3 linked regions of the Sus scrofa genome follow. The protein of the gene in region 1 interacts with the protein of each later gene in a biochemical or structural test. Links are inferred from orthologs where the notes say so. Each region holds a gene or a part of one and is shown on either strand. Other genes may lie near its edges.

Evidence for each region.
Region 2: the proteins of MYO6 (region 1) and TAX1BP1 form a complex in vitro, tested with the Homo sapiens proteins (5 studies listed by BioGRID, with this or other methods). The link is inferred for Sus scrofa from reciprocal best matches to the Homo sapiens genes MYO6 and TAX1BP1.
Region 3: the proteins of MYO6 (region 1) and DAB2 form a complex in vitro, tested with the Homo sapiens proteins (7 studies listed by BioGRID). The link is inferred for Sus scrofa from reciprocal best matches to the Homo sapiens genes MYO6 and DAB2.

The regions. Positions count from the first base shown.
Region 1 is NC_010443.5:90,029,334-90,034,002, forward strand, and holds part of MYO6 (unconventional myosin-VI), read right to left. Parts: intron 2,859-4,669; coding exon 2,820-2,858; intron 570-2,819; coding exon 476-569; intron 1-475. UniProt on the Homo sapiens protein: Myosins are actin-based motor molecules with ATPase activity. Unconventional myosins serve in intracellular movements. Myosin 6 is a reverse-direction motor protein that moves towards the minus-end of actin filaments.
Region 2 is NC_010460.4:44,906,983-44,912,096, forward strand, and holds the start of TAX1BP1 (tax1-binding protein 1), read right to left. Parts: upstream 3,284-5,114; 5' UTR 3,126-3,283; intron 1-3,125.
Region 3 is NC_010458.4:24,773,655-24,778,898, forward strand, and holds the start of DAB2 (disabled homolog 2), read right to left. Parts: upstream 3,284-5,244; 5' UTR 2,932-3,283; intron 1-2,931. UniProt on the Homo sapiens protein: Adapter protein that functions as a clathrin-associated sorting protein (CLASP) required for clathrin-mediated endocytosis of selected cargo proteins.

The DNA of each region.
Region 1 (4,669 bases):
AACTTTTATAAATTTTACTGCAATGATGGCAAACAGTTCATTTTTTATTTCACAATAAAACTCTAACCCAATCTTGCTCAAATAATTTGCTGGCTATGCTTTCCTTCCTTCCTCCCTCCCTCCCCCTCTCTCTCCCTCCCCCTCTCTCTGCCTCCCCCCCTTTTCTCCCTCCCTTAGTTTCTTCCTTCCTTCCTTTTTTCTGGCCACAGAATGAAGCAGCTTTATGTGGGATCTCAGTTTCCAGACCAGACCAGGGGCTGAACCCGGGCCACACAGTGAAAGTGCCAAGTCCTAGCCACTTGACCACAGGGAACTCCCCATGCTCTTCTTATAAATGAAAGAAACATAAAAATCTTACTGCATTTAAAAATAATGAAGATAGCTATGAAGTGTTTGAAAACACTGGACATATTAAACTGTATTTGAATGATGACCCCAATACACACTAATACAGATTACAAAAATAAAGAAATACCTGAACATTGAAGTTGAGACAAAATCTGAGCACCTTCAAAGTGGTGGCTTGTCATCTTTAAATTAGGTTTGATACAACGAATAAAGCTTGCTCCCTAGGACAATAAAGGCACTTTTAAAAAGCAATAACAAATAACATTCTTATTTTCCTATTTCAATGAATACTAGCAACTTTCAGAGAATATTACCATTAATTTATGAACCTCTTTTAAGATCATCACTAAGGAAATTAAAACAACTAGCATACAGTTATATGTAAAGCTGTTATACACTACTAATAGAAAAGTACAACAATTTTGGATTTGAGTGCCAAAAAACTTGTGTTATTGTAAAAAGTCTTTTCGCAAGATGACACACATGACTATATTCTACATTGAAAGGTATTTATATGCTGTTTCTGGGATAAGAAAACTGTTCTATGACAAGATGAGTAAATAAAATTATGCTTCTTCAAATTTAGGCCAAAGTGTTAAAAAAAAAAAATTCTACCTTTCTCATCATTCTACTTTAAAAATATAGGTCCCTGAACTTCACCTCTGCACATATTAAAGTTTCGTTTTTGTTTTTTTTTTTTGTCTTTTTTTTTTTTTTTGGCTATTTCTTGGGCCGCTCCCGTGGCATTTGGAGGTTCCCAGGCTAGGGGTCTAATCGGAGCTGTAGCCACCGGCCTACACCAGAGCCACAGCAACACGGGATCCAAGCCGAGTCTGCAACATACACCACAGCTCACAGCAACACTGGATCCTTAACCCACTGAGCAAGGGCAGGGACCAAACCCACAACCTCATGGTTCCTAGTCGGATTCGTAAACCACTGCGCCGCGACGGGAACTCCGTTTTGTTATTTTTAAAAGCTTAACAGTATGCATTTAAAATCAGTGACCACATAATGTAATGCTGAATGAGGCAGAAAGAACACTGATAAGCACACAGTGAAAGTGTTGGGTACTGAAGCTAGTATATTAGACATCCAAGTAGCAGTTCCTCTTCAGAGTTGATATCTTCCAAAACTGGATAGTTATTGCAACAATGATGCTTGCTGCAAACACTTTTAGAATGCTTTTTAGAAATATCATCCTGGAGTTCCCTTCTGGCACAGCAGGTTATGGATCTGGGGTTGTCACGGAAGTGGCTCAGGTCACTGGTGTGGCTAGGGTTCCATCTCTTCCACGTGGGAAGACCCAAGTCTTTCTTTTCTTAAAATCACAAATGTTATCTAACCATTTTACAGAAGCATATTTGGGTAATAAAAATAAGTACCTCCTCACCAAACTTGGTTTTTAAACAACTTTGATCCTTAAGAGATAAATATCTGCAGTGAGAATACTTTAAGAAATGAGGATATTCAAAATAATTTCTTAATGGTTTCAAAGGAAGTCTAACAAGTTAAGCAATGATAGCACAGAGAAAATAAATATTTGGCTTTTCAAAATGACTATCTGAAAAGGAAGAGTACTCAGTTAAACTCTGTGGATTTGTTTTAAAAATAAGCCTTCTCTTGAAATTATGTCTCATTTACATAACCCACATATCAAATTTTTTTCTGTGGTGAATTTTTCTTTAAAAAAACAAAGGGAACTAAAACATCTAGTTTTGTTTTGTTTTTTTAAAGGCTCCTAGGAAATACTGCTTCTATTACAGACCTTTAGGTATTACGTCCATTTTTTCCATATCAACACCATCGTGTTGGAGAATGTTACCACCAGAATAAAAAAATGAATTCTATTCACTATGATTAATCCTAAAAAAATAATTATTTTCAGCTTCCTGAAGATATAGGATAATCCTAATAACACTCAGAGAATCTATATATTTAGAAAATAATTTGCACATACATATCTGACCTTTCTTCAGAACAAACCTAATCAAATGACAAGTATTTTAAAAACTGATTATTTTTTTTTTATCTTTTCTAGGGCAGCACCCACGGCATATGGAGGTTCCCAGTCCAGGGGTCTAATCAGAGCTGTAGTCGCCGGCCTAAGCAGAGCCATAGCGACTTGGGATCTGAGCTGTGTCTGCGACCTACACCACAGCTCACAACAACGCTAGATCCTTAACCCACTGAACAAGGCCAGGGATTGAAACCGCAACCTCATGGTTCCTAGTCGGATTCGTTAACCACAGAGCCACTACGGGAACTGGCCCAAAAACTTTTTTTTAAATGAGGGAATTAGGTTTTAAGTGAATTTCTAATTATTCCAGGTTTACTATGCTTATTACTATGCTAATTATGCCAGGTTTACTATGCTTATTTTTAACTGTTCCAGGTCTACCATGCTTATAATTACTACTAGAGCTTAAGAGGACCATTTAAAATCCGTCTTGTTTTTTAAGTGTACTCACAGTACTTCGAAGTTTATCCAGAAGCAAATTTAACTGTGTCTGTAAAAGAAAGGAAATCATTTTATTATTTCAAAAAGCAAAAGTACACAGTATCATAAGTAAATATTAGTGCTTCAGCAACAGAATAAAATAGCATGCAATAACACTGATACATAGCACATGATAATTTAACAACTTCTGGTACACAAACTTTTTAACAGAGTAACATGAAAAATGCATGGCTAATATATAATACCAAGAACAATAACTTCCTTTATATATAACTCATATAGTTATAAAACTGAAAATCAGCAATAGTAGACAATGTACATGCACACTTGCAGGTAGAGAATGAGGATAAAATATACAGGCAACGAAAGAAGTAAATGAAAATGCTGGTGATGCATTCAATGAGGAAACAATGGAGCAGTATGTGAATGTGTGACTATGTGGCAAGCTGGGTGTAGCTTGTGTCAAACTCCAATGAGAATGAAGAGATGTTTAAAATATACAGAAATGCTATAGATTAGGTTTATTTTATATAACATCAATCTTAAACGAAACCATCCTGCCTACCTTTTAAAGCCCTCTTAAATGTTTTAAAGCTTTTCACAGTTCAATTATTTTTTTAAAGGCAAGGATAATTTTCTCAAGAAAATTCCACTACGGACACTACAAGTAGTTACTATGCTCTCCTTTTTAAAATAATATTAAGTGATTATAATTTCCTTTGGCTTAATTCATTAAAATCATGTGTTTACTTCTCTGTAAATTAGGTAAAAATGTTATATTGATTTTATACTGAGATGCTTATTGTACTACTCACAAATTAAGATGTTACCTCCTCAATTTCAATATAACTATATTTAACAATAATAACAGCTATAATTTACTGAACGCTTTCTACGAGTCAGGCACTTCTCAAAACCTTTCAAGGGCAATAACATTTGAATCCACACAGCTTTAATTAAGGACATATTATTAGTCTCATTTTAGGTGAAAATGTGGAGGCCCAGAGAGGTAAATGACTTGTCAAGATCATGGAGGTATGGGGTGGCAAAACCAAGATTCCAACAAGGGCCTAACAGCAAGGTTCATGTGATACTACAGCACACTTCAGACACAGGTTTCAGTTACCAAAATGGAGTGAATTTGTCACTGGATTTAAAAAAAAAAAATACAGTCACATCCCACTTAACTGGCTGACAGAGTTCTGACAATCTGAACCAGTCTGGACCAGCATACAACTGAAAAGCAAGTGAACGAGCCACTAATTTGGAAAGAAAACAACTGTCACAAAGCTATGCTTCTTAATCCATAGACTAAGGACAGTAGTCTCCCCCAAAATGGGGATAAAGTAAGTCAGAAGAATAGAAGCAGCAAAAATAAATGACAGCATCTGAGAGGAGAGGGAAGAATGTCAATTACCAAAGAACAAGAGTCAAAGACCATAAGGCATAGGGTAAATAAACAGCCTTATGCAACACATGCTTTATTTGTACTTTATCTTTATTTATTATTTTTTGCTTTTTAGGGCCACACCCACAGCATATGAAGGTTCCTAGGCTAGGCGGCCAATCGGAGCTATAGCTGCTGGCTCACGCCACAGCCATAGCAATGCAGGATCTGAGCCGTGTCTTCGACCTACACCACAGCTCATGGCAACACTGGACCCTTAACTCACCTAGAGAGGCCAGGGATCGAACCTAATTGGATTCGTTTCTGCTGTGCCACAACGGGAACTCCTATTTTATCTATTTATCTGTTTGTTTATGTATTTGTTTCCTTAGCTTTTTAGGGCCATACCTGCAGCATATGGAAGTTCCTGGGCTAGGGGTCCAATTGGAGCTACAGCTGCTGGCCTACACCAC
Region 2 (5,114 bases), on another chromosome or scaffold:
GCCCAAAACAGATCTGACTTTTGTGGTAGTTTTTTTTCCAGTGGCTACTGATACTCATTTTACTTGACCAGCCCAAAATGTAAGCCTTAATCAAATAAAGTAGGAAAAAGACCATACTAAGAATTTCTGTGCAAAAACATAGTCAAATTAAGCTTCTTAATTTAAATATTTCATATAATTTGCCAATTCTAACACTTAGAATTCAAAAAGATATAAGGTGATTATGTTCTACTGATATTATTATAGTGACTGTATTTTTTCAAAGTTCTTATCAGTTAAATAACCTAATTATAGGTGAAATATCCTTATGTCCAGGATTTGCTTTAAAAACTCCAGGGGAAACAGTAAATGTGCTGAGGTGGTAATAAACCAAGATTAGTAAAATAAATAAATAAATAAATAATAAATAAACCAAGATTAGCAAAACAGTGGTTCCTTTAACTGTTCCATTCTCCTTTCATGTATGTATGAAAATTACCATAATAAAAGTTAATAAAACCAAAGTAGACAAATAAAGATTAGTAATAAAAACTCAGTACGACTTCCTTCAATAGAAACATATTACACACAGTAGCTGACTAACTTAACGGAAGTTTTTCGGTTAAAAACTTATGAACTTTTGGAGTTCCCTGGTGGCTCAAGAGGTTAAGAACCCATCACTGCCACTGCTGTGGTTCAGGCTTGATCCCTGGCATAGAAGCATCCGGGAGAGGCCAAAGAGGGGGGATGAACTTTTAAATTTATTTCCAAACTTTAGTCCTAGAGGAAACTGAACATCAGGAAGGAAAAAATAAGTCTAATATTCTAATAGTTTCCAATTATTCACACTTCAGCTCAAAAAAAAGGCTATCAGCTGGTTTACAAACCAAAAAATTCTTATCAACAATCTTTCTGGGAGGCAGAAACAAAAGAATCAGTCTGTTGATGTGCACTCTTACAGTCTTCCCTATCTCCAAAACTCTTCACAGCTGAATAGCAGGCTATTCTGCCCAGGTGTCACCACTTATATTTAATTTTTATATTGTTTTAAAAGTTGGTTTCTAAAAAGCCATGGTCTTGGCCCATATATATTAGAGGGGAGAGAATCTTTATCTTCTCGTAGGAGTTTGTATGGGGCAAAATAAACTTTAAAAAGCCAAGAGTGATACTGAGTAGTATCCAAATTCCAAAAGGATGCAATTCAATAAACATCACATGTAAGATAATTCCTCCAAAGCAGTAAAAAAGGAGCATGGTTGCAATCTTTCATAAATATATATCATTAAAAAGGGTGAAACTACACAACCTAGAATAGATTTACAAGGATATCCTGCTGAATAGCATTGAGAACTATGTCTAGATACTCATGTTGCAACAGAAGAAAGAGTGGGGGAAAAACTGTAATTGCAATGTATACATGTAAGGATAACCTGACCCCTTTGCTGTACAGTGGGGAAAAAAAAAAAAATTAAAAAAAAAAAAAGGGTGAAACTTAGAATTCCAAAATATCTGTTATTTTGTTAAGGAAAAGGCATTTACAGTTTAATTCTACACAAACGGCTGCAGCCATTATTGTCAACAGGAGTGTGCAATTTAAAAATGTGATGACTAAAAAATAAAAATAGGATATTCTTTGACGTTACAAAAAAAAAAACCCCAAAGCTAGTAAGTTATTTCTAATGTATCCTTTTATTTATTTATTTATTTATTTATTTTGGTCTTTTTAGGGCCGCACCAGCGACATATGGAGATTGCCAGACTAGCAGTCCAATCCGAGCTGTAGCTGCTGGCCTACACCACAGTCACAGCAAGGTCAGATCCGAGCCGCGTCTGCAACCTACACCACAGCTCACAGCAACGCTGATCCTTAACCCACTGAGAGAGGCCAGGGATCGAACCCGCACCCTCACGGTTCCTACTTGGATTCGCCAACCACTAAACCATGACGGTAACTCCTAAGTGGATCCTTGATAAGCACGAAAAGAAAGACTGGCCTCAGCCCTCTTCTATGCGGGAAATAGCACTTTAAGGTTAATTAGCTCACTTCTTGGATTAACATGTTACTCAAATGATCTCTCTAAATGCTTTTGGAGTTGAGCTCCAAAATTACAATTAGCAATTGTTCCTGCATCTTGTAAATATTCCACAATTAGCGGAATGCAGAGTTGAAAAGTTACGATTTTCCCAAGCCTGACTTTTAACAGCAATTCCTAACTACTTTCCGAAACTTAAAAACCTAGCGTACGTAGAAAGTCAAACGTCACAGCGTTCCCAAATTATCAATCAGGTAATAAATGTTTATCAGAACATGCACGCACATACTAATCTCTTAATAAAGATTCCCCGAAACGACGAACGCCTGCCGGGACTTGTACACAACCTGCGGAGCTCCGGGGTGCCGGAGGGAGGGAGAGTTGTGAAATCAGGAAAAGTTGCCTAAGCAAAGACAAACGTGGCTCTCCTCCCAAGATTTTAAAACATCCCTTCGAGAACTCGGCGTAGAGCCACTTATAAACAAAAGAAAAGTGTTTGCTAATTCAGCGGCCCAGGTGAAGTCGGTGATCCAACCAAAACAGCTAACCCAGCCCGCGGCCCCGAGACGTAGGCGGCGCACCGAGTCCCCGCCTCCTAATCTGCCGGCGACTCAAACCAAAACACTTGGGTTTCACCCTTCACGGGCAAGCCCGAGCGTCCCACCCGAGGCGACCTAGATGTTTTCCCAAGTTTATCTACGTCGACAGCACACACGCTGCCCTCAAAACACTCACCCCGCAGCTGAGCCTCGGGCGAGGCAGGGTCCTCTCCGGGGGGCCCACCGCGTCACTCGCCCCCAGCCAAAGGGTCCACGCCCCACACAGGTCCCCCAAATTGCGAAGGCCTAGCCCAGGGCCTCCCCGCCTTGTGAGGCGGCCACCGGTCGCTTTTTCCAACTCCACTGCTAACCGAAGTGGCCCACACCCCCGTCACAATCGCAGCCCGGGAAGGAAGGCACTGTCACTAGGCAGCTTCGTCACCAGGGCGACCATTCCCGAGATCAGCCAGGCCCCTAGTCTCTACTGAGGGGGGGAGTCTCTCGAACCCCCAAAGAGCTCCAGCGGGGGTCCGCCCCGCGCCAGGCGGTGGGGCAGGCAGGGGAAAGAGCTTACCGAGTGGGCAGCTCCTGGGCAGATAAGGGTGTTAAAAAGACTTCTGAGCCTGAGCCGCCATCAGCCCCGATCCTCTTCCGCCACCAAAGCCTCCTTCTACCGACCGGCTACACCTCCTCCCCGGGCCTAAAGCCGGAGCACGTCACTTCCGCCCAGGGACACGCCCCTTCCGCCGCCGCCGCCGCAGCCACGCGAGGTCAGCTGGAACACCAACCAGGTTGTTCTGGACGTTAAATCACCTTGGCAGTTAGTTGCCTGTGGCCGGGCCACGGGCAATTCCTTACCGGCTTTCACCGTCGGTTCGGCTGTTACTCCTCTTCCGCCCTGCCGGTTTTGCTCAGAGACCTGGCCGTAAACAAACAGGGTCCTTTGGGCTTTTTAATTATTACTTTGACCGGAAATTCAAGGAATTTACCAGTTAAGTGGAAAGGATAGTGTTTAAACTGGCACCAGGTCATTGTCTGGATCTTTAAAAATCTGTCCAAGCGAATCTCTTTTGTGGATCAGAAAGTGAAGAACCAAAGAAGCGAAAGAGCAACCGCGTGGCTGGGGCTGCAATCCATCACTCTCTTCAAACTCCTGGCCCAGCCCAGTGCTTGCTTAACAATGAGATTTTATTCCTTGTGAAACCTCGGTTTCCCTTAGGAGTTTGCAATTCCAGTGCTTTATGATTCTATTTCCTCTTGCTCGTTCTACCCGCATTTCTTCGAGTTAACTGCTTTTGTTATCCGTTATTTTGCGTGCATGAATTTATTTAGTCCTGTATCCTTTATTCAGTTATAATTTCTAAAGTCATTTGTTATGACTTCCTAGAGTAGGGGTTCAGTTTAAATCATAACTCCGCGGGGGCAAGTGTGGTCTCTTACAATCATGTACTTGTGTTGCCGTCAAACCCTGATAAAATTTGCAACATCACAGGTGAAGAAAGGATAATAAATTAGATCAGGTCAAATGTTGAAGCATCTTCTAAATTCAAAACGTACAAAAATCTTCTTCAATATACTTTACTTCCAACATATTTAATATTACAATGCCTTTGATAATAAGGGTTCTCAATATCTGCTAACTGATTTGTTTCCTATATATTGAAATATTTGAATTTGGTATTGTTCTGTTTATCATACTTGATAGATTTCAGAAGAACCTTTATAGAACATTTAGTACCAATTTCCTTAGATTACAGATAGTGTGATAATATCAGTAATCACCTGGCTTTACTGGTAGCAACCTTCCAGTGGTTGTCTGTGTCTCTTAAGCAATGTAAATACGGCAGTGAACCCTTATAAGCAGAATTTTTCAGAAGTGCTACTCTTCCCAGCAACTACAGCCAACTAATCTATGACAATGGAGGCAAGAATATACAATGGAGAAAAGACAGCCTGTTCAATAAGTGGTGCTGGGAAAACTGGACAGCCACGTGGAAAAGAATGAAATTAGAGCACTCCCTAACATCATACACAAAAAGAAACTCCAAATGGATTAAAGACCTAGATATAAGACCAGACGCTATAAAACTCTTAGAGGAAAACATAGGCCAAACACTCTCGAAATAAACGACAGCAACATCTTCTCAGATCCACCTCTTAGAGCAATGACAGTAAAAACAAAAATAAACAAATGGGACCTAATTAAACTTAAAAGTTTCTGCACAGCAAAGGAAACCCTAAACAAAATAAAAAGACAACCCACAGAATGGGAGAAAATCTTTGCAAGTGAATCAGCTGACAAGGGATTAATCTCCAAAATTTATAAACACCTTCTGCAGCTCCATACCAAAAAAACAATCACATTAAAAAATGGGCAGAAGATCTAAACAGATAGTTCTCCAGAGAAGACATATGGATGGCCAAAAAACACATGAAAAGATATTCAATATCACTCATCATTAGAGAAACGCAAATCAAAACCACTATGAGGTGCCACTTTACACCAGCCAGAATGGCCATCATCAAAAAGTCTACAGGAGTTCCCTTCGTGGCGCAGTGGTTA
Region 3 (5,244 bases), on another chromosome or scaffold:
AAAGACTGTTGTATCATTTGGTCCCCTACTTGTGCACTTGCTGTGAATCTATCATAGGAGTAGGGGTTCTGAATCTTGGTGAGAGAGGGAGAGAGGAGGGCAGTGTTAAACTAGGGGCACCCGGTTTAATGGTCAAGTTAGGAGATTTCTGTGGGTCAAGTGGATGCTACTTAGAACATAGTTGAGGTTGTTTCACCCCAGTTCCAAGACAGTTTCCCACTGCACCTCAGCTGCAGAAGGCTATAGAGGATATGGCCAGTGACAAGAGCTCCAAAGGGTTGAGCTGGATTTCCAACTTCTCAAAGATTGGGGCGCAAAGAACTCACATCTCTAGTCCCCAGAGAAAGCCAGAATCTGGAGGCCTGCCACACAGAGGGCACCCCCAGCCAGGCTGTGGCCAGAGAATCAGCACTCGCCGAGAGAGAGATGTTACACAGTGGCCTGTTGGCACAATACTCTTCATTCTCTGTCTTTCCCGTCAGCCCAACACCCAGGGGGAGTAATCTTAGAGGGGAATACAAGGTGGTAGTGCTCCTGAGATAGGCCTGCAGTTAGGCAGGGTGCCAGTTCATACATGCACTGGGAAAGTGGAGGAGGGCAGAAGGTAAAGATAAACTCATGTTTAATGACTGACTGCACTGAGGCTTAATATTTGGAAACAACTGGGAAATTTTGGAGCTGCCTCAGATGCCTGAAGAGATCTACCTCCCAGTAGAGAATTAATACTTGATTATAGAACAGCTGGGAAGAATGATTTATAAATACAAAGGCTTCACATTTCTTACTGAGTTAGCAATGCTTTCTAATTTAGGTACATGTAGAAACCCACTGAAATTTGTAGACACCTTGCACAGAAAGAAACAAATTCAACCCCAAACCACTATCAAAGAAACCTTCCTTCTATTACTGATTTATCTCTGAATCTGACAAGTAACACCATTCACTATATTCCCTAGTGGACCTTCTGGGGATCAGAACATGGTCAAAGGTCCCCATGGAGGACATGCAGAAAGGCAGTCTTGTTCTGACCCAAAGGAGCTCACAGCATAAAAATAAAGTGAAGACAAAGGGAAGTCCCTACTCAGATCACAGCTGAGAATGAGTGCCTAACTGGTTTCAGGGTGATCTGGAACTTTCTGGAACCATGGAGAACTGCTGATTAGCATATCAGGAGATATATTACATAAGCCAGCCATGTTTAGAGATAGCTGATGTGTTTGTTCTTCTCGCAAAATGTTTCATGATATTATAAAATAGTAACAGCTATCCTTGAAATACTTCTGTCTAATTCTCTCTCTGTTCTCTCACTCTTCCACCTCCATTGCACACATATATATTGCTTGGCGTATCACTTGTTTGTCAACTCTCTTCCTGCCAGCCCTTTATTAGTCTATTTTCTGGCCAATTTCTTGCTTTCTCAGATCATTTTCCCATAATCCCTCTGAAAATCTGAGGCACTCTGCTGTAATGGAATTCCTTGGACGATATAATATTAGTCTTTAAGGTATTGCATTAGCCATACACCTATTTGGAGAGGTCTCTGATTTTTCAACTTCCTCAGTGAAATTTGCTTCTTCTCTTGAATCCTCTATGTTTCAGCCAATTCCCCCCTTATCTCCTTCTTCTCTGGGACTCGGCTTCCCTGAACTTTAGCATTCCCTTTAGCCAATTCTCCTTGGAAGCTATTTTTTTCTACTCCTGGGGCATCCTCGACAATAATGTATAAGCAACAATCACAGAAATGTGTACAAGAAACACTGATAATTGTCAAATTTTAGCCTCAGAAGGTTTTATGCATAAGGATTCTGTTGATGCTAGAAGGAACCAAGTCATCAGAGGTAGGTGGCCATGAGAATTAGCTAAAATGCATTAACATTTTCATAGTAACATATAGTAGCAAGTAGCATAGTATAATACATATAGCAACAAATAACATAGTCATCTAATTCTTAACTCTGTGCGAAGTCACATTGTGCGTTTGTAAGTAGGACTTCAAAACAACCCAATAAGAAATGGAAGAAAGGCTGTTTCTAAAGATAAGTAGTGAGTCTGGCCTCCCTACCTTTCTCTCTCTCAGTTTTTAAATGGGCTCAAGCAATTTGAAAACCAAAATTACTGGACAGAAATAATTACTGGGCAGAACTGAGATGCCTTATGTGGTGAGGGTAGGTAAATTTTTGTGAGGTTGTAACAATGGCTCTTTTTTATGCCCTGGAAGTCCAACATTAAACATCCACTTCCATCAGGGACTTTGGAATTGCAATATATCGAATGAGCTATGCTTTATTACATGCTGATGGAAGTAATCACGGCATAGTCACGCATTGCAGATGCTAGCAACTTCTTCCCTTTTGATGTAAAATATAACATGAAGTCTTTGCATTAAAGTCAGAGGTATAAAATCTGCTAGCATCTGTAAATATTTTATTCTTTAGGTACTCCCCGGTGCTGAAAATAAAATGTAGAGAACGTTGCCTGAATTTCTGAAATAACCTCCGACCAAGAAGAAACCACCCAGTTTCTTTATCATAACAGCTCCCCCTGCTGCTTCAAAGTGAGGCTTCGTGCCTATTTGCCGTTTTCCCTTCAGTCTTTGAGGGGCTCTGGAAGCATGGCTGGAAAACATTATCCTCAACTGAACCGTAGCCAGGAAAGTCTCAGGAGGGAATTCTTTCCTGACATAAAATTAAACCTGGCTTCAGCATATCTTCGGGGGGAAAAAGAAGGAAAACTTACTGTTGATGTTTCTTGGCTGGGCTTTCTTTCTGTTCTTAAAGCAACATTATTTTAGAAATCTGTAACAAAACCTGTCATCTGCCAAGTCAGCCCAAGCATCCCAGCCTCTCTCAGCTCAGCTCAGCTTTCTCGATCTTGCCTCCCTCCATGCAAACTGGGCGAAATTTATTCAAAAACAGATGCCTTTTAACTCACCTGTGGTAGAAGCAGTGACTGTCTCTTCCTTCCGTGGAAGGGAATCTGATGCCAAAAGTCCCACAGAGTCCAAGGCAGAGTGGCACCGATGTGGTGGTAGAGCTGCCAAGCCACAGAGTAACCAGGCCTCCAGGTGACTTGTCTTTTAGCCTTGCTGGATTGATAATTGTTGCACGACTTCAGCAGTGGCTCAGGAGCAACTGGCTGCAGGCAATATATTTTCAGGTCCAACTGGATGCACGGCTTATTTAGAGCAGAAAATCTGGGTGCTGTGGCCGTAGGAGGCCTCTGCCTCTCTGTGCCTGTGGAAGATGGTGTGATGAAGATTACTGTGTGACCTGATGCCACTGGAAGGAAGGTGCTGGGTTATTTATTCACCCAAGAGGCAGATGTTAGAATCACTGAGTTAAAAAAAAAAAAAATTGCCTCAATCCAGGGCGCTGATGCTCTGGTGGGTGAAAGACATCTTGCATCTCAAGCTGAGGCCAGATATACTGTTATCTACCAACCCAGTGCTGGTCCAGAGTCACCTTTTTCTCTGCCTTTCTATTCCCATCAAAAACAATGACTTAGAAAGTTTGTCAGTGGGTATGAGAGTATTACAGCAAGGGAACTGACACCATCAGAAGTTTTGTAGCACGCAGCATGATCATTATAGGTTCTGGAATGTTCAGGCACTGGTCTCTGGCTCTGAATGTGCTACTCTCATTAAAATGTATTTCTAGGATAAGAGAATGGTGTTTGGTATCATCTGTGCAGACCAGGAAACAGCATAGGACACACTTCACATACTCTGTTAGGAAGTGGCTGAGATGGGGGCTAACACACTGAGAACTTGCCTGCATGGCTTGGGTTTAAGACCTACTCCTAATTGTTTTCCTTGCTTAAGAACATCTCCCTCAACTGGCTTATGTAAGAGACTGCTTTTTGGATACGAAGGTATTCTCCATCTGAGACATTCATTTATCATTGTTATTATTATTTTGGCCACGTCCTATGGCATGCAGAAGTTCCTGGGCCAGGGATCAAAACCACACCATAGCAGTGTCTTAAGTTATAGCAGTGATAATGCCAGATCCTTAACCTGAAAGGCCACCAGGGAACTCCCTGAGACATTCATTCAAAATCTAAATATTTCAAGATAGTAAAGTAACATTATAGTGAACAGTGTTTTTAGCGGGAACAGTTAGCCAGTTAACTAACCACGCCCTGATGATGGGGATGACATTGGTGATTGGGAAGTGCTTCTTTGAAGAAGGTAGGTTGAGGCAGAAGGCTCAAGCCAGAGGCAGTGGGTGTTGAAGGGAGGGTTTTGGGGAGACAATAGGTGGGGAGACCTGGGCCTCTCTGGGACAAAATGAGAGCACTGTGAGCTAGCATTTGGCCAACAAGGATGGAAATCGTGAGGTCCATGAGGAGATAGGTTCAAGGAAGAGAGTAGAGTCGGAATATAAAATCACCTTCTCTCTCATAGTTTTCTGAGCCTAACCTGAGAACTGGTCCTGTTTTCCTCAATATCCAGATACTTACATAAAGTGATTTCATTGTTCCTCACCCTAATAGGTGATTTTCCCCTCCACTTGCTTGTGTAGGTCTCAGAATAAAGACTGGAGAGTTGGGTCCCAAAAGAGAGGGCCAGTTGTCACGACTTTAGCCTGCCTGTCATTGTCTCCTGCCTGGACCTATGCAGTTTTATTCTTTTCTCCACCCCCCCCCCATTCCAGATTCATCTCATACCCAAAGGCAACCCTGATGATGTCACTGGCCTACTAAAAGATATTACAGTTGGTCAGCGGAATAATTTCTCACCTATAGTAGGTTTATTTATTGTTAGAAACTACTTAGGCCTCTTTCCTGAGAGAGGATTATATATCTTTATCCAAGGCAATGTGACTTTTAGTGCCTCCTGGATTGAAGGGGTATCCTTTGCCCATGGATGTCAGGCTTGGCCATAGGCTTTATTTTGGCCAACAGAATATGAGCAGATATATGTCTTGTCTCTGGAGAGAGCTTCAAAAATCATCATATGTTTCTGCCAGTCCTTTGCCTTGGGAAACCAGGTTTCCCAAGTGGAAGCAGATCCTTCAGTCTGACTCGAAGAATAAGATGAGAGGACACATGATAGAAGAGCCATAGCAGCTGATCCACAGCTACCAACATGGAACACAAATGGGAAACAGATGTCTGTTTCTGTAAGCCACTGAGATTTGGGATTTGCTTGGTACACCAGCAAAACTGACTAATATAAAATCCACTCCACAGTTTTGCCTCAGTCTACATTTCCATACTGACATGAGTGTGACAACAGCACAT